4 linked regions of the Schizosaccharomyces pombe genome follow. The gene in region 4 interacts genetically with the main gene of each other region. Each region holds a gene or a part of one and is shown on either strand. Other genes may lie near its edges. The genes, in order: clr3, raf2, ani1 and cid12.

What was found.
Region 1: mutations in cid12 (region 4) and clr3 together harm fitness more than expected from each alone (negative genetic interaction), as found in Schizosaccharomyces pombe (3 studies listed by BioGRID, with this or other methods).
Region 2: mutations in cid12 (region 4) and raf2 together harm fitness less than expected from each alone (positive genetic interaction), as found in Schizosaccharomyces pombe (2 studies listed by BioGRID).
Region 3: mutations in cid12 (region 4) and ani1 together harm fitness more than expected from each alone (negative genetic interaction), as found in Schizosaccharomyces pombe (2 studies listed by BioGRID).

Annotation. Positions count from the first base shown.
Region 1 is NC_003423.3:252,889-257,638, forward strand, and holds clr3 (class 2 histone deacetylase Clr3), read left to right. Parts: upstream 1-1,797; 5' UTR 1,798-1,933; coding exon 1,934-3,997; 3' UTR 3,998-4,250; downstream 4,251-4,750. Other genes in the region: cell cycle transcriptional repressor Whi5, read left to right, coding at 260-343, 422-1,096. UniProt on the Schizosaccharomyces pombe protein: Responsible for the deacetylation of lysine residues on the N-terminal part of the core histones (H2A, H2B, H3 and H4).
Region 2 is NC_003421.2:498,834-503,485, forward strand, and holds raf2 (CLRC ubiquitin ligase complex subunit Raf2), read left to right. Parts: upstream 1-1,931; 5' UTR 1,932-2,025; coding exon 2,026-3,936; 3' UTR 3,937-4,047; downstream 4,048-4,652. Other genes in the region: kcs1 (inositol polyphosphate kinase), read right to left, coding at 1-933. UniProt on the Schizosaccharomyces pombe protein: Component of the Clr4 methyltransferase complex (ClrC) which contributes to the establishment of heterochromatin by specifically methylating histone H3 to form H3K9me.
Region 3 is NC_003423.3:4,062,350-4,066,460, reverse strand, and holds ani1 (FKBP-type peptidyl-prolyl cis-trans isomerase), read right to left. Parts: upstream 1,942-4,111; 5' UTR 1,905-1,941; coding exon 819-1,904; 3' UTR 501-818; downstream 1-500. Other genes in the region: sporulation specific PIL domain protein Meu14, read right to left, coding at 1-44, 86-167; deoxycytidyl transferase Rev1, read left to right, coding at 2,303-4,111. UniProt on the Schizosaccharomyces pombe protein: PPIase that acts as a histone chaperone. Histone proline isomerase that increases the rate of cis-trans isomerization at prolines on the histone H3 N-terminal tail. Proline isomerization influences H3 methylation thereby regulating gene expression.
Region 4 is NC_003421.2:1,653,813-1,660,717, forward strand, and holds cid12 (poly(A) polymerase Cid12), read left to right. Parts: upstream 1-1,833; 5' UTR 1,834-1,856; coding exon 1,857-2,867; 3' UTR 2,868-3,269; coding exon of another isoform or gene 3,270-3,704; 3' UTR 3,705-3,818; coding exon of another isoform or gene 3,819-4,733; 3' UTR 4,734-4,822; coding exon of another isoform or gene 4,823-5,971; 3' UTR 5,972-6,268; downstream 6,269-6,905. Other genes in the region: splicing-associated factor Saf1, read left to right, coding at 64-900; NatA N-acetyltransferase subunit Naa50, read right to left, coding at 3,270-3,704; trp663 (TRP-like ion channel protein), read right to left, coding at 3,819-4,733, 4,823-5,971; SPOM_SPCC663.15C (uncharacterized protein), read right to left, coding at 6,470-6,905. UniProt on the Schizosaccharomyces pombe protein: Has a role in the RNA interference (RNAi) pathway which is important for heterochromatin formation and accurate chromosome segregation.

The sequences.
Region 1 (4,750 bases), on a different chromosome or scaffold from region 4:
AGTGTTTTGTTACTTGATAATTCTGGTGTTCTGCCTGTTGCTTTTTTCAATCGTTTGTACGGGCAGGCGCGACTTTCGACTTACCAACACATCGTTCAACGCGTCTTGTTTCAATTGAAACAATTATATGCTATACGGAGGATTATTTGATTGCAATTGGATATTATAAAAGGAATTTATCGAAAGGAGAATTCGAATAGGCTAATAACTCGTCATTTTTATATACCTGCATACAGACGAACTCAACAAATATTAATTCATGGCAGGCGGCCACAAGAAAAATGAAGCTACAAGGCAGACTGATGAAGTTATTCAACAAAAATACGATGAATCATTAAGCAAGGTATGTCAATTACGCAAACACAATTAGGTAACATCTCGACGATACAAATAGAATCGTCGATGAATAATTTTGGTTTAGCATAAAAATCGTTGCGAATTGTCATTAACTTTTGAATACAAGTTATCAAACAAACTTAGGGCTCGTTTGAAGGCAGCGTTTTTTAAGGTCGATCATGGATGGGAAGATCAGACATTAGATCAAGTGGAAACGCTTGTTCGTAAGGAAAATCACGTTCATCGTAGATCACGCTCGATCAATGACTTGGACTCTTCTAAGCTAAGAAGGCCGCATCACCCCAACTCAATTATGGGATCGAATACAGGCAAGCTGCGTGCAAGTTCATTTACGCGATTGGTGAGCCCAAGAGAGGGCTTCGCTCAGCTTCCTTATAAGAAGCCTGTATCTCCTTACTCATCTTCTAGTGCTGTTTCTTCTACGTCCTCGTCTTTTGATAGAACTAGTCCTCCTTGGTTGAACTACGTTGAGCCTCATACTGAGCTACCCAGACTGCCATTTGAACTTAGCCATGCCTCCACTGCTTCAGCTAAATCTCCACTGTTCGGAATGAATTACCATATTTCACGCCCTGAAGAAACCGATGAGTCTCTTCGCCTTGGCACTGCAAACCTCAGTAGAATTCGCAAGTCCACGAGTCTTCCTTTTCCAACGGCTTATCCCCTATCGGCAGATGATTGCAAGGCAGCTGAAGTTATGCTTACGTTGGTGAATTCTATGCCTTCGAAAAAACCATAACATCCTTCATTTTAGATGGTATACGAGCATTAAGATATAAAATTACATAATTATTTCATGAGAGTTAATCTATAATTTGGATGAATAGATTGATTGTTCACATCCTGCTGAAGAATTTTTGGAAAAATCTCGTTTGAGAAGTTTTGTTATTTCTTGCTATCCGTCTCCAGTCCTATGGTTGATGAGCTATTAACCCTCTATATGTTTAAATGCTTGATATGTACAAGCCAAATTGTGATAATGCTTAATGATGTTTATGACAAAGGGTGAATGTTTCCGGGCGTACAACAGTCTTAAAGATCATAGAAACATTATTTACCATGTATTTATTAACGTTCTTCCTACATCTTGATCCTTATGATTTGAAATGATTATTATATAAGATAATGGAAATTCGCGAACTCGCAAAATTATGCATTCATTTCGAAGTATGGCTCGAGACAAAGCTATTTTTAAGTTTCTAAGAAAATAAAATAAATAAATAAATAAAAATAAGACCCTCCCATGAGCCTCATTACAAACTCTATTTTTTCTCAATCTCCATACGTTCAGGATCAATCTTCTATTTAAAGCCTTACTAAACGTCTTAATTACTTACATTTTTATTCTTTACCAAACAAACTCCTTTGTTAGCATGGTTGAGATTATATTCTCTCATTGCTCCTCTATACTTATGTCTTAGAAGTACCAGCAACAGTTTTGACGACCAAAACTACCTATATCGAGTGAGCCGCGCTTCAAAAAGTGTTTCGACAGTTTTATGAGGGAGTTGTTTAATAGGAGATTTTTTTATTAATTTATTAATTGATTGACCTTTTTAAGGGCGATAGAAAACGAATGCTGGCCTCTAATTCTGATGGTGCATCTACTTCTGTAAAACCATCCGATGATGCTGTAAACACGGTAACTCCATGGTCTATTCTTTTGACAAACAATAAACCAATGTCTGGAAGTGAAAATACATTAAATAACGAATCCCATGAAATGTCGCAAATCTTGAAAAAATCTGGATTATGCTATGATCCTCGAATGAGATTCCATGCCACTCTAAGTGAAGTGGATGACCATCCTGAAGATCCAAGACGCGTCCTTCGTGTTTTTGAAGCTATAAAGAAGGCCGGTTATGTATCTAATGTGCCGAGTCCGTCAGATGTATTTTTACGGATTCCGGCTAGAGAAGCTACTTTAGAAGAGTTATTACAAGTTCATTCACAGGAAATGTATGATAGGGTTACTAATACCGAAAAAATGTCTCATGAGGATTTGGCCAATCTCGAAAAAATCAGTGATTCTCTATACTATAATAACGAAAGTGCGTTTTGTGCTCGATTGGCTTGTGGTAGCGCAATTGAAACATGTACGGCTGTCGTAACTGGTCAAGTAAAAAATGCCTTCGCAGTTGTTCGCCCTCCTGGCCATCATGCAGAACCCCATAAACCTGGTGGCTTTTGTTTATTCAACAATGTTTCTGTAACCGCAAGGAGTATGCTACAACGCTTTCCGGATAAAATAAAAAGAGTATTGATTGTCGACTGGGATATACACCATGGAAATGGTACGCAAATGGCTTTTTATGACGATCCAAATGTTCTATACGTTTCTTTGCATCGATATGAAAATGGTCGTTTCTATCCTGGCACCAATTATGGGTGTGCAGAAAATTGTGGAGAGGGCCCGGGATTGGGTAGAACTGTAAATATTCCTTGGAGTTGTGCTGGCATGGGAGATGGTGATTATATATACGCTTTTCAGCGCGTCGTAATGCCTGTTGCTTATGAATTTGATCCAGATTTAGTTATTGTAAGTTGCGGCTTTGATGCTGCTGCAGGAGATCACATTGGTCAATTCTTGTTAACTCCAGCTGCCTATGCTCATATGACACAAATGTTAATGGGATTAGCAGATGGGAAAGTTTTTATCTCCCTTGAGGGAGGTTATAATTTGGATTCTATAAGCACATCAGCCTTAGCTGTAGCCCAAAGTTTGTTGGGAATTCCTCCTGGACGATTGCATACAACATATGCATGTCCACAGGCCGTTGCTACCATCAACCATGTAACCAAAATACAATCCCAATACTGGAGATGTATGAGGCCGAAACACTTCGACGCAAATCCTAAGGATGCCCATGTAGATCGATTACATGATGTTATTCGAACTTATCAAGCTAAAAAACTTTTCGAAGACTGGAAAATTACCAATATGCCAATACTAAGGGATTCCGTTTCCAATGTATTCAACAATCAAGTACTGTGCTCTAGCAATTTCTTTCAAAAAGATAACCTTCTCGTTATTGTCCATGAATCTCCTAGAGTCCTGGGTAATGGAACTAGTGAAACGAACGTTTTGAATTTAAATGATTCGCTTTTAGTAGATCCCGTGAGCCTTTATGTTGAATGGGCTATGCAACAGGACTGGGGGCTTATCGACATAAATATACCTGAAGTGGTTACGGACGGTGAAAATGCACCGGTTGACATTCTTTCTGAAGTGAAAGAACTTTGTCTTTATGTATGGGATAATTATGTTGAGTTGTCGATTTCAAAAAATATTTTTTTCATCGGTGGAGGCAAAGCGGTACATGGATTGGTTAATTTGGCATCTTCCAGGAATGTGTCAGACAGAGTTAAGTGTATGGTGAATTTCCTTGGCACTGAACCTTTGGTGGGTCTTAAAACGGCATCAGAGGAAGATCTTCCAACGTGGTATTATCGTCATTCACTCGTGTTTGTGAGTTCTAGTAATGAGTGCTGGAAAAAGGCAAAGCGTGCTAAAAGAAGATATGGACGACTTATGCAAAGTGAACATACTGAAACTTCGGACATGATGGAGCAACACTATCGAGCGGTTACTCAATACTTGCTGCATTTGCTTCAAAAGGCCCGACCAACTTCTCAGTAACATTCGTTATTGACTTATGATTTTTTCATGGTTTTCTATTCTTTTAATTGTCACACATTTAACCTCCTTAAGTTATCTACGTTAAAATTTATAACGGACATTCATGATTTGCCAAACCCGCTGAATGATTCGTACTCAATCTGCTAAGCTGCTTTGTCTCTTTTACTTATACTTTAATTCGAGCTCATTATTCTCAAGGTTGGTGGATTTTGACTTTATTTTCCAGTAGAATGTATACACAAATGGTTTATTGTTATTGCTGGCTTCATTTTATTCATGTTCAATATAATTAAATAAATAAGGTTATAATATTGTTTTATAAAATAAAGCTCCTCAAATCCGTGATATTATTTTAGTTCAAACAACTATTGTTGATTTTTGTCGTAATTTTGCTTAAAAGCATTTCTCTAAAGCTGAGGGAAATCCCTCATCCATTTTTTGTACCGCAAAAGGATAATATTATAGTATGTTGTTTAAATTGTAAAATTAGATTCATAGTACAAACAGCATTTAAATTGTTTTCTTATTCTCCAATATTAATAACTATATCACACAAAAAAATTGATTTGGTTGTATGGTGTAATGGTTAGCACGTGAGATTCTGATTCTCGAGACCTGGGTTCGATTCCCAGTACGACCTTCATGAATGATGGATGATTCTGTGATGTTCAACTTTTTTAACTAATCCAAATTGCATGAATGATAACCGGTCAACAGTAATTGTAAATGTAGCAACTTTACTATTAAGGAAGG
Region 2 (4,652 bases), 1.2 Mb from region 4:
TACAGTAACCGGATAATCAACATTCCAATGGAAAAAAGGATGGTCTTCAGGAGGAGATGATGAGACAGATGATACAGATGATCGCGGGGTGGATGCAGGACTTTGATAAGAACGGGATACCGACCTTTCAAGCTCAAACGAAGCATCAGGTAGTAAAGGGAGGTGTTGAGATGACTTTTTAGAAGGATTATGTGGTATGTAGGTGGCTGTGGTTTTAGAACTACCACTATCTTTTCTTCGTTTAGGAGCTGAGCTCCGACCACGAGATGATCTTCGACTTAGTGATGTATCTTTTTCGGAAATAACTTCATCTAAATCATGCTGAGCACCAACACTTGGTGATCCAGATTTGGAGAGCCTTTCAGAAACAGATTCAAGAGGACTCGACACGTTGTGCAAAGCAGTATTAGTACTGTTACCGGTTTCTAAGTTATTGGAGGTAGAAGACTCAAAGAGACGTAATGACCTGCTTGCCTTTCGAGACGGATGAGCAGAATGAGCACTTGCCATATCATCAGCTTCAGAAACGGCTGAAGACTGCAGCACCGGTACTGGTGATTCAGCAACTGAATAAGAGGAACCACCTAATTGCAAGTCAGCTAGACTCTTGTGAATTGAATCACTCATATATTCAACAGGGGTGTGTGTTCTCAAAGGGGTTTGTTCTTGTGAATTACTTCTTGTTAAAATTAAGCGAGGGACATCTTCCAAGCTCGTAGTTCGAGGGTCTACAGCAGATGAATAGTTACTTAGCCTTCTAGGCGATAAACTGTCTAATGACTTAGGACCTATGGATTCAGAATGCATAGTAAAATTATTGTTATCTTCTGATTCATCGTACAAGCATTTTAACGTTTCAGGACCTCGATCATGAAAATTCACGTCTCTGCCTTTACGTGAATTCGGCAGGTAACACTTTGGTGCGTTCTGCATAAATTCATAAGTTTATCTCTATTAAATTAATATTTTTCCTTAATTCCCCTTCAATTCCTCCAATTTGTCCGATTTTTATTAGTTTACCTTTCGCAGAGACCCGCTTTGGTTCTTGGCAAGTTTCTTACTTTGCTCTAGCTTACAGTATAATGAGGCGTATAGTGAAACTACTTAAATTCATTATTGTCAGCAATACTACACTACGCTATGATACACTACGTTGCGTATCACTATATGTCATATGTTGGAATACTAGCTAAGATCCGTTTATTGATAATCACGGGTAACTATCCGTCTATATACGTAGATACCCGTTGATAACAACTATTTAGAAATATTATAAATAGCGTTACAACTGAACTGAGGAACGAGGTTCAGTTATGAGCTATATTAGTGATAGGTAACATTATAACCCAGTTAATACAATACCTATACTCAGTTGCTACTTATACAACCTGCGTATTGTAATATAATAGATCACAAGGAAAACTCACCGCAGTTCTACGTATCCTTAAATCAGATACCAAACTGCGTAGCTTACAATTATTCTACTCTAAAGATCCACATAATAATACACCGTATCTGTCATTAAATTACGCATTGTGTCAGCTATGCAATCATTAAAACACTTAATGATACTTTAGAACTGCGGTGGGTTTTCCTAATATAAAAAATAATGTTAAATAAAATTCTGTTTTCTATACAATAATAAATATATCAAAATATTAAGAGATATCGTATAGTATTATATGTGCACTAAAATAGTTTACAATCAGCTGAGGAGTACAAATCAAACTTCATCAATATTTTTCTAATTAAAGAATAAGTACTTTAGAAGCAACGTATGTTCACGGCCGAAAGAAATGTTGGTAAAACACAATTATAGGTATAGTGATTGTTAACGTATCGTAAGTATAACGCACTAGACGTTAATTATATATTTGTGCAGTACAATGGATACCCTTCTCTTAAATTTCAGAAGCAGAGATCAGAAATTTAACACCAATGTTTACCTCAAAAATATGCCGTCTATAGTAATAGGCAATATTACTTCGAAGAGTATTGTTTTTGGGGAAAAGGAAAAAGCTAGCGATGCCGCCCGTACGTGCTGAAAAAAAGCGGAAAACTGATTTGATTGAACAAGTTTGCGTTACAAATAAAGCAGGGGAATTAGTAGATTTAGAGGACGTTCTAGAATATGGCCCTTATTCATTAACAGGAATTTTATCTTCTGAAAAGGATGAGCAAGAACCATTGTTTGATGAGAGCATTGTTCTGGGATACTCGATAAAAATATCGCCTGTTTGGACATACAATCTAAAAGACGTTCCTGAGAAAGAAACTATGAGCATATGGATCGTTACACCTCAAAGAAGATACGGAATTTTGTCTCCTTCTTCTGAGTATAAAGCCATTTACGAACAGATCAGCGAGAAGAATCGATTGTTTTACCTTATTAAGACAAAATTCAAAGATGATATGATATCTGGTACGTTAGAAGATTACGATAATTATATCGAAGTTTTAAAGGAAAAGCTAGAGCTTCCTTCTTGTTTTCAAGCAATTCTCTTAGTGCAAAAACATATTCGCTTTCTGTTAACCCAAATGGTTGCGACTTCTTCATTACATGTATGGTCTGAATCACCTTTTTTTATAAGAATTCGATCTTCATACGAACATCTGATTTTACAAATTAATAAAAACATTTACAATGCTCGTCAAGAGCGAAAGAAATCAAAGTTATCGTCAAACAATCCATCGGACAATAATACTACTATGAAAAGCTCTTTAAACCAAGCTCTTACTTTAATTAATTTACCCGAGCAACCGTTTAGCATTTCCTCTCCCACAGCAACACCACAACTAGGAGTTGTAAAAAGAACTTCTCCATTACGGTTTCCTTTGAATGATATTTGGCTTTCCGGTTTAAGGATTGTTGATCCAAATATTGAATCGATATCATTATGGAAAAGAATACAAGTTTCAACCTCTCCGAAGCATCAACGTTATATTAGCCTTCAAGAAGTTTGCAGCGTTATTGCTCAACAGCTACAAATAACAAATTTGGAAGCTTTGAATAAACTTTCTTCCCACGGCGAAACCCTTTTGCAAATTATGCATACTGCTTTCACGTGGAGAGGTACTAAGCTTTTTAATGATATTAAGCACGCAATTGGTTTTAGATCTTCTGTTCAACAAGCACGATCTCAATTCCGTGGATATTGTTATGATTATTTATTCATGCATTGTAACAATGGAGAAAAAACAAGTCTACATCTCTTGAGGACTCTAATATGCATGAAACTAGATTTCTCAAATGCTCAATTGGCGGCCAAGATATTATTTCATTTCTTGTTATTTGATATTGGATCAGGCCTTTCTGGCTCAGATTATACATATGAACAATACATTAATCACTCAGCTGTCGCTTTCAGTTTTACGGAGGAAATTTTTGAAAAAAATTTTGTTACAGTTCTTCCTGACTTTGTTAAACTTTTTTCTATTTCTTTTGGTTATTGGCCTGCATTCAGCTTCTATGATGAATTATTGAAATTACTTCGCAACAAATATCCCAAAGTATATTCATCAACTCCAAATTTATGCGATCAGGTATGGCTGGATCGAACAAATTTATTCCCTTGTAATAGGTCAACGAGGTCGACTTTACCGTATAGACCTACAAAACTGCTCGATTTAGCTTCCGCATCTTCCTGCTTATCCAAAAAGGAAACAGATTTTAAACAAGACACTGGATTATATTCATATAACTTGGAGAAAGTTGAGGCTTTAAAAGTTAGTCCGGATTTACAGACTGGTATTTGGTCATGTCCAGTACAAAATTGTTTGTATTTTGCTGTTTGTGACAACCCGTATAAACCTTCTCAGGTCATTTACGATCATCTTTTAGGACATGTAGATTCCAAGTTTATATTTAAAACTCCTTCGAACAGTGTCCGATCGTTTACAAATAAACTTGAACACATAATGTACAACATAAATTAATGATAGATATGATGATTTTTACTAGTAATTAACAAAAGACACACTGCATTAAAGTTAATATATAGTATGTTTATAAAGGATTACAATTTTACATGGCTAATGTCAAATACACTTTACTTTACAAATATCATGTGTTCATAAACAATTTCAAAAACACATTTTGTAACAACAATTTGATACGCTTATAAATGTGCCTATTAAAGTGTACAAATAGCTGAATTATTTGTCAAATGTAATATAGGACGATCAAACAAAATCAAACACCAACCCTTTACAATTGTAAAGTTAATGGCCGTTCAAAATACCAGAACCCATTTTTGATAATAACTGAGACCAAGCGATAAAATAAAAACAGAGGAATGTAAACGCCAAGAACTACTAAATGTTCATGCGTAAGGAAAACGAGCAAAAAACGAGTATTTATTTTAGAAAAGAGCAATACTATTAAAAAATTGTTCCAGAAAATACGGACCATACGCGACGATTACCCATCTTTTTGGTTTTGTAAACGTAAATAGAATCATCTAATCATGAATCAGTAGGAGCAAACATGAGTATGATGAGGCTCACTTCTTTGACATAAAAAAATTAATGTGATAGGATAATATCCTAAATTCGATCCCACTCATAGATAGAAGAAAGTGTAATTTCAACTCTAATACAAGAATGGAGCCAAAGTAAACAAAGGAATGTACAAATAGGCAAGATCCTGTGAA
Region 3 (4,111 bases), on a different chromosome or scaffold from region 4:
GTCATCTGCATGAGATAGTTCTTTTAACTTGCTGATCGAAAATTCTATGTCATTAACTTATTTATCACACCAATTTATATCTTACTATTTTTATTTAAACCCTTCACGAGACCGTTTTCTCTTAAAGAGCCTTTTCTCTGCATTTTCAAGTTGCTTGATTTGGGCATGTTGATTGTTTACGTTTCAGAAAAATATATGCCCGCCTTAAGATTTGCCTGTAAACAGAAGCACAATTTTCAAATAAACAATATAGAAAAAAGACAAATAATAAAAATAATTCTTTAAATTCTAAAACTGCTTGTTTTTTTTTAAGTTGATTATTACGATAATTAATTTTAAGAATTTCGTAAACAAACAGCTGTTTGTAGACTTATTTAGCGATAATCAGATAATGGCTCTTTTATTATCAATATGTTTTTTTTTACTTTTAATAGAGTTTTTCGGAATGTTCTCGTTTATATTTACTCAAACTCAAAATTCCATAATTTAAACATCCTTAACTAGTATCGATCAAGGAAGCGCTATTCTCTTTTCTCTTAATGCTCATACACATACAAACAGCTCTTTCTAAAAAATTGTATATTGATTATATCTCCTTTATCACCCAACAATCCAAATCATCCAAAAGTCCTATATCCAAAGTGTTTGTAACACTTAACTAAAAAAAAATTTCCTAACTCAAATACAAAATGATACCCTGATTTTTTTTGAAACCTAAGAAAAAGATAGGCGATAAAAAGAGTTAATAGAATACATAGTTTAATCCGCGATCTTCTTAAACACGGGAGTTAAAGTATGTTCATCTTCAACATGAAAATTTAGTGAACGCGAACAAGCTTGACTTCAAAAACTAAGGTAGAATTCTTGGGAATTCCTGGAATGCTCTGGTTGCCGTAAGCCATGGGAGCAGGAATTGTAATCTTACGCTCACCGCCTTCTTGCATTCCAGCAACGCCGACGTCCCACCCGCGAATAACCTCACCACGACCAAGGATAAAAGCAAAGGGTTTACCTTTAGTGTTTTTGTCAAAAACCTTTCCATTTTCGAGCTTCCCAATATATCTCATTTCAACTTTTTTCCCATTGGTAGCAGACGCACCGCTCCCAGTTTTAACATCAGTTACAACCACGCCTCCTTTTAAAGTACGAGTCTTGGGACTAGAAGGTGCATTAGAAGAAGCTTGTTGCTTTTCTTTCTTAGCAGCGGGACCAGTAGGTCCTTGTTCAAGTTTTTCGGCAAATGCAACCTTCTTTTCCTTAACAGGGGTACCCTCAACCTTTTGCTTCTTGGTATTGTTTTTCTTAGGAGAAGCAGCCTCTTCTTGCTCGGATTCATCCTTAGTACGTTTTTTTTTAACCTGTGCCTTTTTAGCAGGAGCTGAATCCAATTCATCCTCCTCAGATGCTGAATTATCTTCCGACTCAGATTCCTCTTCACTTTCCTCATCACCGCTGACAGTCTCGACAAGATCCTCCTCAGTAGGAGACAAATCGTAATCCTCGTCAGATTCTTCCTCTTCCTCATCTTCTTCGTCAACCAAAAAGTTACCAGACAAGTGGATGGTTGCATCGCCAGATGCACTGAAGAAGACTTCGTCGCCAGGAGTAATGGTCAAATTTAAAGGCTGTTGGTATAAGGAACCAGGCTTCAAAGTACATAAAACAAATTCACGCTGGCTTTCTTCCAGAAGCTCTTGCATTTGTTCGTCAAGTTCTTCGTCATCTTCATCTTCAACGGGGATACGGGGACGAACCTTCACCAATAAAGTAGTTGGTTTATTAGACTTTTCGCCGGCATCAATGGATGCCATAGTCAAATGAATAGATGCATCTGTAGATTCCTCCACAGCGGGAACATCTTTTCCCTTTACCGAAAGACTATAAACAGCAATTGGAAGAGACATGACTTATTCTTGCCTAAGAGGTGAGGTGGTAGAGGATGTAAAAAATTTTGATACATAAACCGTTGTGTATTCCATTAAGTAAGGGTAGTGCGTATTACCGCGATTTGCAAATTATACTCAAAATTAATTAAATTTGGACGAGCGTGCATCACAACAAACGCGTAGTAATTATTTTTGATATTTCGTTGTTTTTTACTTTGAAATAGTTTGGCTTCACGAGTTTTGGGATAAGGTTAAATAATGAAAGAAAAAAGCTCTTGCAGTTAGTTTTTCTTTATAAACATTGTTTGTTTATTAATTACACTTTTTCCGCTTAAGTGGCTACATTATTATTTGTATTATTTTCCTTTCAGAAACATATTAATACTTATATTTACTGAAAGTGAGAAGCGCGCTGGATGGCTTTTAATCAAAGGAAGCGTCGACGCCCAGTAGGGATTGCAGACTTTGACGAAGCAAACGATGAGGCATACGAAAGTGTTGGGTTCCACGACTATGCAGATTATTTTTCCCGGAAACAAAGAAAGCTTCAAAATCAAAATGCCGCTCTATACAAAAGTATTGATGAAGATTCTAAATCTGATCTCTTTCATGGACTTGCAATAGCGATTAATGGATATACAAAGCCGTCTTATACCGAATTACGGCAAATGATAGTTTCAAATGGAGGTACTTTTATACAATATGTTGATGGAAAAACAAGCATATCATATTTGGTGTGTTCATTTCTCACTCCTTCCAAAGCTCGCCAATGGAAGCATCAGAAAGTGGTTAAACCAGAATGGATAGTGGATTGCATCAAACAGAAGAAAATTCTTCCGTGGATAAATTATCGTACCTTTCAAGCTTCATCGGCTCAAGCTACCCTTTCTTTTGTCGCCTCTAAACCTAGCCAACCCGAAGGTAACTTAGAAGATATTCAAACAAGCTCGCAGGAAGAAGAACATGATAATGAAAAAGATAAAACAAAAGAGAGTAAAGCAAAGGGATTTTTAGATGATTTGAGTGGATTATCAGCGTCTTCACTGCACAACTATCAATTGTTAAAAAATCCCAATGTCCGAAATTCAACCACTCAAAATCAAGATTTTCTTGAGAATTTCTTTAGCTCCTCTCGTTTACATCACTTAAGTACTTGGAAAGCTGATTTTAAAAATGAAATCCAAGCAATGACTACTGCTTCTGAACCTGTTCGTCCAATTATGAAAGATAAATCAAAAAAATCTCGTTTCCTTCTTCATGTTGATTTTGATTGCTTTTTTGCTTCCGTTTCAACACGCTTTTCTCATGAGCTACGACTGAAGCCCGTTGCTGTTGCTCATGGTATAAAAAATTCCGAAATAGCTAGTTGTAATTATGAGGCTCGGAAGTTTGGCATAAAAAATGGTATGTACGTTGGAACAGCTAAAAACCTGTGTCCTTCATTACGGGTTGTTGATTATGATTTTGGAGCATACGAATCTGTTTCTAGAGAATTTTACACTATCCTTGTTAATACACTTCACGACTATATTAAGGTTATAAGTATAGACGAGGCTCTTCTAGATATAACTTCTAGTGTTTCATCTTTTCAAGATTGCTTTGAGATTGCCGAGTCTATCCGCTCGCAGGTTCGCGAGAAAACCAATTGCGAAGTTAGCGTTGGTATTGGCCCAAATGTTCTCTTAGCAAGACTTGCACTTAGGAAGGCGAAGCCTCACAACGTTTATTCTTTGTCAATAGAAAATGTTTTTGATGTATTGAGTCCTTTGTCTGTTCAAGATTTACCAGGGGTGGGCTCTTCACAAGCGCAGAAACTTTTTAATTTGTACGGTGTGCGTACTATTGGGCAGCTGCAAAGAATTGAAAAATTCAATCTTCAAGAGACTTTTGGGGTAAATTACGGTCTGCATTTATACAATATTTCCAGAGGAATTGATACCGATATAATCAATAATGAAACCCCACGGAGGTCCATATCCGTAGATGTTAATTGGGGTGTTCGTTTCGTTTTTCAAGAGGATGGGATAGATTTCTTAAAACGGTTGCTTCATGAGTTGCTTTCCAGAATGGGTAAATGCCAAGTGCTTTTGCATCAAATTCAGCTTCGGATTTTGAAAAGGGCTGATGGAGCCCCTTTCAGTCCACCAAAGTACCTTGGAGCTGGGGAAGTCACTTCATTTACAAAATCTTCAACTTTTACTTCTGCTACTAATTCGTTTGACTTA
Region 4 (6,905 bases):
TTTATACATGTCACGTTTTTGATCACCACCATTCTAAACCCATACTATACTTGACTCTACAGAATGCTGTCAAAACGGGGATTAAATCCCGTTCAAGCGGAGAGCAGAAAGAAGAAAAAAAGAGAACAAATTAAAGTGCGAGAAGAAAGAGCAAAACGCCATGAAGAACGACTGTCGCATAGGAATATGAGCCAAATGGAACGCCAATTATCAGAGCTGACACAATTAGAATCTTCGCAAGCTTTAAATGCACATGACAAGCAATTATTACAAAATTTGCAAAGAGATATGGCAATTATGAAGAAGAAAAACATTCATGGACATAGAGTTGGGCGTGTTGAGTCAGACAAGACTAAGGAGGCAGAACGTCAACATAAACCTAGAAAGCCTTTTATCCCTAAAAACCCAAAACGAAGTATATATTATGATCCAATATTTAATCCTTACGGAGTTCCGCCGCCAGGAATGCCTTATCGTGAGAAGGAAGAACTAAGTTCAGAAACAGATGAATCCGTTATTGATATACCTTTACCTTCTGAAGAATATCCTTTTGAGGATCCAAAGCCAAGGGAAAAGAAAAATAAGAGCTTTAAGCCAAAGCACCACAAAAAGCAAGACATAAATGCAAGTTCAGCACAACCAAAATCCACTACTACGACAGAAGCTGCTGCAAATACGAAGGACATTGAAGAGGAAACTATGATTGAGTACTCAGCTCAGCCGGTAGTCAGAGATTTACGACAAGAAGCTGCTCAATTTTTACCTGCTGCGTTTCAACGACAAAAACTAGCCAAGGGGCAGAAAATTGGACAGCCAGACAGGGATGTATCGAGCCAAGTTCAGGAAGACAAGGATGAAGAAATAGATAATTTCTACAAAGAAATTGGCGGATATCTATAAAAAAGTCGTTAAAATTATGGAGATTGGAAGTAAGGATTACCAAATGGGTGTAGACGGAATTTTTAGTTAATAAACATGCATATTAATTTATATATAATATCTGTTTACTAGGTTCAATTTTAAAGGAGCTTGATTGCATCTCTGTACTTGTTTTTTTGTTTTATTCAATTATGAGTGAGCTTTCATAAGTTAATTCAAAGGCTTATTATTATGATGCGGTCAATAATTTCAAATTTTTGATGTCCAAAAAAAACAAAGGAGATTTTGTTTCTGTGTTATTGCATGATATTTATTAATGTTTTCTTGGTTCAATAATTCCTTATTATAGTCACTTTTACACTGCTTGAGCGAAAGGGGATTTCAAAAAAACACCTTATATTCATCTTTCCGTGATTATTTCAAGTTGACTGTTTTTTGTGAATTTGTCTTTTGCTAAATTATGATTGTTACACTTAGTCCTACACTGTTCATTACGAATCAGATTACCAAAAAGAAAGAAGTACATGACTAATTACTTGGATTAATTTTATTTTATTTTCATATGTATTTAGACGCCATGACAGTATTTACATGCGTAAACCAACGAATTCGTTTATCAAATAAAAATATCATAAAGGAAACCTTTAAAAATCGAAATACACATGCTTAAGTTAAAATTTGCACAATGAGAGATGAGGGAGTACTTATCTATCTTTTGCTTGCTTTTCTTGGGTTCATAATCTTTGGTTTTCGCTATAAATGCTGTATGAGACTAGGAAGCTTTTGCAGTCAATCATTCTATTATTTATAAAAACAAATAAGTTATTTATTGATTAAAAACTCGTGATACTTTTTTTTGCTATAAAATGATTTATTTACATATAATTACAAGGCACTCGCACGACCTCGTTATGTGCGAGGAGCCATGAAATTGAATCCATTGATATTAAAATTAGCCAAAATGCCATTTCTTAAGAATGGGTAAAGTCCTGTTAGAGCTGCATTCAGTACCATGGAATGAAGAAGGTTTGAGTGATAATGCTCGACTTTATTCATTTTTGGAGTTCGTAAGCCCGAAAATCGAGGAATTGAAGTACAGAAAGCTTTTGTTAGAGAAACTACAGACTCACATTAGGGAGGTCGTTTTGGATGCTGAACTTCAAGTATACGGTAGCATGTATATTGGAACAACATTATCTATAAGTGATGTAGACGTATCTTTGAAGTCACCTCGAGTTGGAGAATTGGAGAAACGACGCGTCACCATGGTTTTAAGAAAGTACTTGGATGCTGATGCTGATTTCCATTCTAGTGCCAGAGTCCCTCGCATCAATTTAGTAGATGTTAGTGGAATTGGGGTGGATTTGACGTTTGGAAATGACAAAGCTTGCAGAACTGCTGAATTGCAAAAAGCTTATAACGAAGAACACCCAATTTTTGGTAGATTGCTGATGCTATTGAAGCACTGGTTGTTTGAAAGAGATTTGGAAAACGTTCATCATGGCGGGATTGCAAGTTGCGCGCTCTCTTATATGCTAATTGGTTGGCTTGAAATGCGATTTCACAAAAAGGGAATTGATTCGGAAGTGCAACCAATTCGAGCTTTACTACAGAAATTCTTCTATTTTTGGGGAGTCGAATGGACATACGAACTTTTTGTATTGAGACCTTTAACCGGTCAAATAGTTCCTAAGCTACAAAAGGGCTGGTTAAACGAAGTGCAACCAAATTTGCTATCTATTGAAGATCCAATTGACAGAAATAACGACATTGGAAAGCAATCATTTCAAATTAGTATGATTAAAGCTGCATTTGTTGCTTCAGCTAATGAATTATTATCCGATAAGACATGGTTTAGCACCTTTGCAATTACGGAAGATGAAATGTTTTTGTGTAAACAGTTTGAAAATGTTATAAATACTAAACGAAGTTTGGTGGAGGGATATGATAGTGATACGGAATCAGATGAATTACAAGCTGGCGGATAACTGCGGGTTAATGCATTTAAAAAATAATGCTCGCTGTTTAAATAAACATTTGTTTTTCAATTCCTAAGTTGTCTTGCCGCATGTGGTAATGTTTCACTACAGTTCGTATGTACTTTACTCTTGTTTAATTGAATGGATTCATATTCTTATTATTGATAGGATATAAGAATCCTACAATTATCTTAGTCATTTTCAAGTCTTTTAATTTTACTTAGGCAAGGTTCGGCTGTTTCAAATGATATCACATTTTGTACCTATTGAAGGTGCTAACAAAATCTGTTCTTTAAAAATTTCAAAATTAAATCTATTTTATTCTTTTAAAATCTATCCAAGGATCCATGTTAGATTTTCAAGTCAATTTAATAATTGCATTTCACTTAGATTAATAAATGTGTGTGCAATCTATAGCTTTTTCGAAAGAAGGACGCTATCTTCTGTTTTGGAGCTCTCATCAATAATGAATCCCCGATGAATAAACCATTCGGATACATCGAGTTTAGGGCTTAATTTAATGTAAATTTCTTTGGCTTTTCCCTCAGCTGCAGTCTCGCAAGCATATTCCAACAGCTTGGTACCAATAGAACGGTTTCGATAGGCTGGCAAAACTGCCAAAGATAAAATTTGGATTTTGTGCGATTTATTATGTGTTTCTTTTTTGCATCTAACAGCTCCTACGCAGACCTGGTTAAAGTACGCATATTGTGCTAAAGGCCCGACTGAGATTGTGTCTTTGTAAAAGGAGGTTGGAAATATAATGATTTCAGGATCAAAACACTTTTCGTTAATAACTTCAAGGATTTTCAGATTATTAGGGTTAATCGCATCAAGTTCAATCATCTTTTTTATGCAAATGCAAATATCTTTTTCTATATGTACTTGGTGTTGTCAACTTTCAGTCTTTAAGGCATTCTAATGCAATAGTTTGAGTTGGAAACATCCACGATAAAATCTTTAAACAGTACGCTGCATTTCATTAATCCCGTTGTCACATGAATGTGAAGGTATTGTAGATGCTGGTCGCATAGGAGAAGCGTTAACAAGGCTGAAGACATCGTCATTTCCATCTTCCTTTGTGTCTACGTTTCCTTCTTTCTTTGTGGTAGAGGGCTCTTCAAAATTTGATTCTTGTGGGATAATCTCTTCGGTGGATAGCTTTTCACTTGCAGAAACCGCAGGATTCTCAAAGTCAATATGAAGTTGTCTTTGATATTCATCTATTAATCTTCTAAGCCAAGGGACTGTGTAGCTAATGGCTGGCCATGCTGTACCTAGCATAGTAATGAAGTTCCAAAGGCTCCACAGGGCCATAAATGAAAATACCAGCCCTTGTATAATGATAAGAATGATTGCAATGATCACTTTCGGAATGATTGCTAAATCAAATGCTATCGGTATGAGAAGAGCAAAGGAAACCACTCGGGTGAGAGCAACCAAAAAGACGCAAAAGGAATTTTTGAAACCAACAAAAGGCCGAAACACTGCTAGCAATATAAAAGAGATGATTTCAATAACAAATAGAAGTATAGTTTGAATCTTCGCAAACTGTTGTACTAACGCTAAAACCAATGCAAAACTAAAATAATGTGCAAAGCAGGCGTAAACATAGAGCCATCGCCGTTCTTTTAAATCCAAATATAACCATCCCCACCATGTGTATATTTTTGGATCGCTTATCAATGTTTCTGGATTGTCCTCGTTACTCAAGCCTGACGTTGTTATCACTCTTATGACTTTGATAGTTAACCAAAGGAAAAGCCCAAAAAGCAGTGCCAGAAGCAAAGCCGCCAATATTACAGGGCCATATGCTTCCCTAAGTGTAAACTGGTAAATTATCATAGTTACCAATACAGGCCAACAAACCAACACCTATATCAACCAGATTAGTATAAGTATAAAGCAAAAAAGTCGTTAAGAGCTATGTATGAACAACTCATTCCTTTGTTCAATTAACTTACCCATCTCATACAAGCATTAAAAAGTACTCTAAACCAATACCTTGTGATATAATCGCATGAAGATTTTGCGATTATACGTGTCTGACGAAGAAACTTAATAATAAGTACGAATATTATAACGATTCCTCCTGCTATGGCCAAAGAAATCAAAAACCATATTAAAGTGAGTGTAAATAAATTCGTTGTTAGCGTTCCAACTTCGGTGGCTAGGCCTTGAAACCCATGGTAAAATCCAGGAATCGGGCTTTGAGGGTTTGTTGCAACAGCATCTCTTCGATGGACTCCACCTATCTTTGGAGAACTTAGGTTTCCATTGGAATGCTTTCTAAAAGACTCAAGGCTGTTTTCTATCTCTTTATTGGTAATAAATCCTAGAATCCATGCAAAATTACTAGCCCATGCGACTAGCACTTTTGGCTGTGTAATTCCAATTGCTCCCGTGAAAGCTATACATTGAAGTAGCTCTCCCATGTGCTGCAAAGAAGGAACGGAATTGATGAAAACCTGACGTGTCAGATAGGTGCTATGCTCCATTCCAATTACATAAAAGCCTAAGACGCCTGCTATACTCAATGCCAAAGCAGTTCCACTTAGAGCTTTTACGACTTTATTTTTAAACGTATGACCATTATTAAGTGTCGCGATCATGCACGCAAGTGGTGTAGAATTATCGATGGATGACGCTGCGATGTCTTCTGAGCGATACATGCGAAAACGCACTAAGCCTTCAAAATCAGGAATTCCCCAGGCAATTTTTGGGATCATCTGAACATCTTGAGGGCTCACTGGAAGTATTCCCTGTGTGGTTATAGCTGTATCTCTTGCAACTGGGCACACAGTATTAAGATTTATTTCACAAGGGTCGAAAGTAAATCTTGCCCTCTGCTCTCCATAAGCTTCAACTATAATATCAAACGTAACATTTGCGTCCACAGATGAATATCCAAGAATATTAAAGACTACTGACAAGTTTCGTGTATAATAACTTGCATCAAACCGATTAAACACTATCGGGGCATTTGACATGCATTCTGCGTACTCGGCTGTTCCAAGTTTGTGATTTGGTCTCTTACTATATCTTACTCGACCTTCCACTGACGATAAGATATTACTTAAAACTGCAAAGTAAGCTAAGAGTATTAGCTTCATTTTCATTTTCCATTAACATCCCCCTTCCAGTTATGTAGAGGGTTTAACTTTGGAACGAATGCAAAAAAAATTAAAATGAACTTTCCTCAGAATTACCAAACTATCACGAATAACAAAAACATGCTACTGAACTCAAATGCCGTAATTTGACTGTAATGTTTACGAAATAGCAGTCGTATTTTTTAACAACCATAGCATTGAGTTAAATACAAGGATTAAATAAATAGTAATGAAACGATTGAAGCTTTAAGATTTTTACGAAAAAGAATACAGAACGTGGCTTCGTTTATTTAGTTACCACCATCTTAGCATTGTTCTTACGCTCACAATTTTACACTATGAAAAAAGCAATATAATGGTAAAGAATGTATCATTAGTAAAGAATAAAAAAAAGAAATGCATTTTCATTTCATTTGTAGTTGTGAGAAGAAATGATGGAATGTGCGAGCCTCACTTGATTTTATGTCATTATGTTTTGGACCTCAATTAGTAATAAAATTATTCTGTTGAAGTCATTTCTGAAGGCGTTTCTTGATTTTTCGCTTGTAATTCGTTGAGTTGCTCCATTAAAAGATTTCGAAAAGGAGTCAGCAGCTTCTCTTTAGTTCTATTTAATTTCATTCCACAATTTGGAAGTTGTGGCTGCGGTACTCCATGAGCTGTAGTGGGTGTAATAATTGCGGACCCAAAGAAGTTATAAAGATGTAAAAGCCATTCACTAGTACTATCTTTATTCTCAATAGCCTTCTTGCTTTCTTCATCAAGTTCCTTCACATAATCACCAATTTCTTCCAAAACTTGATGTTTTGTCTCTTCATCCAAGGTATTTAAAGCTTTATGGGCAACATCTACCGCATCAGGAGTCTTCACCTCAACACTAAATTGTTTTAAACAATGGCGATACCAGTCGCACCACTCTCCACAAAGATCGGGC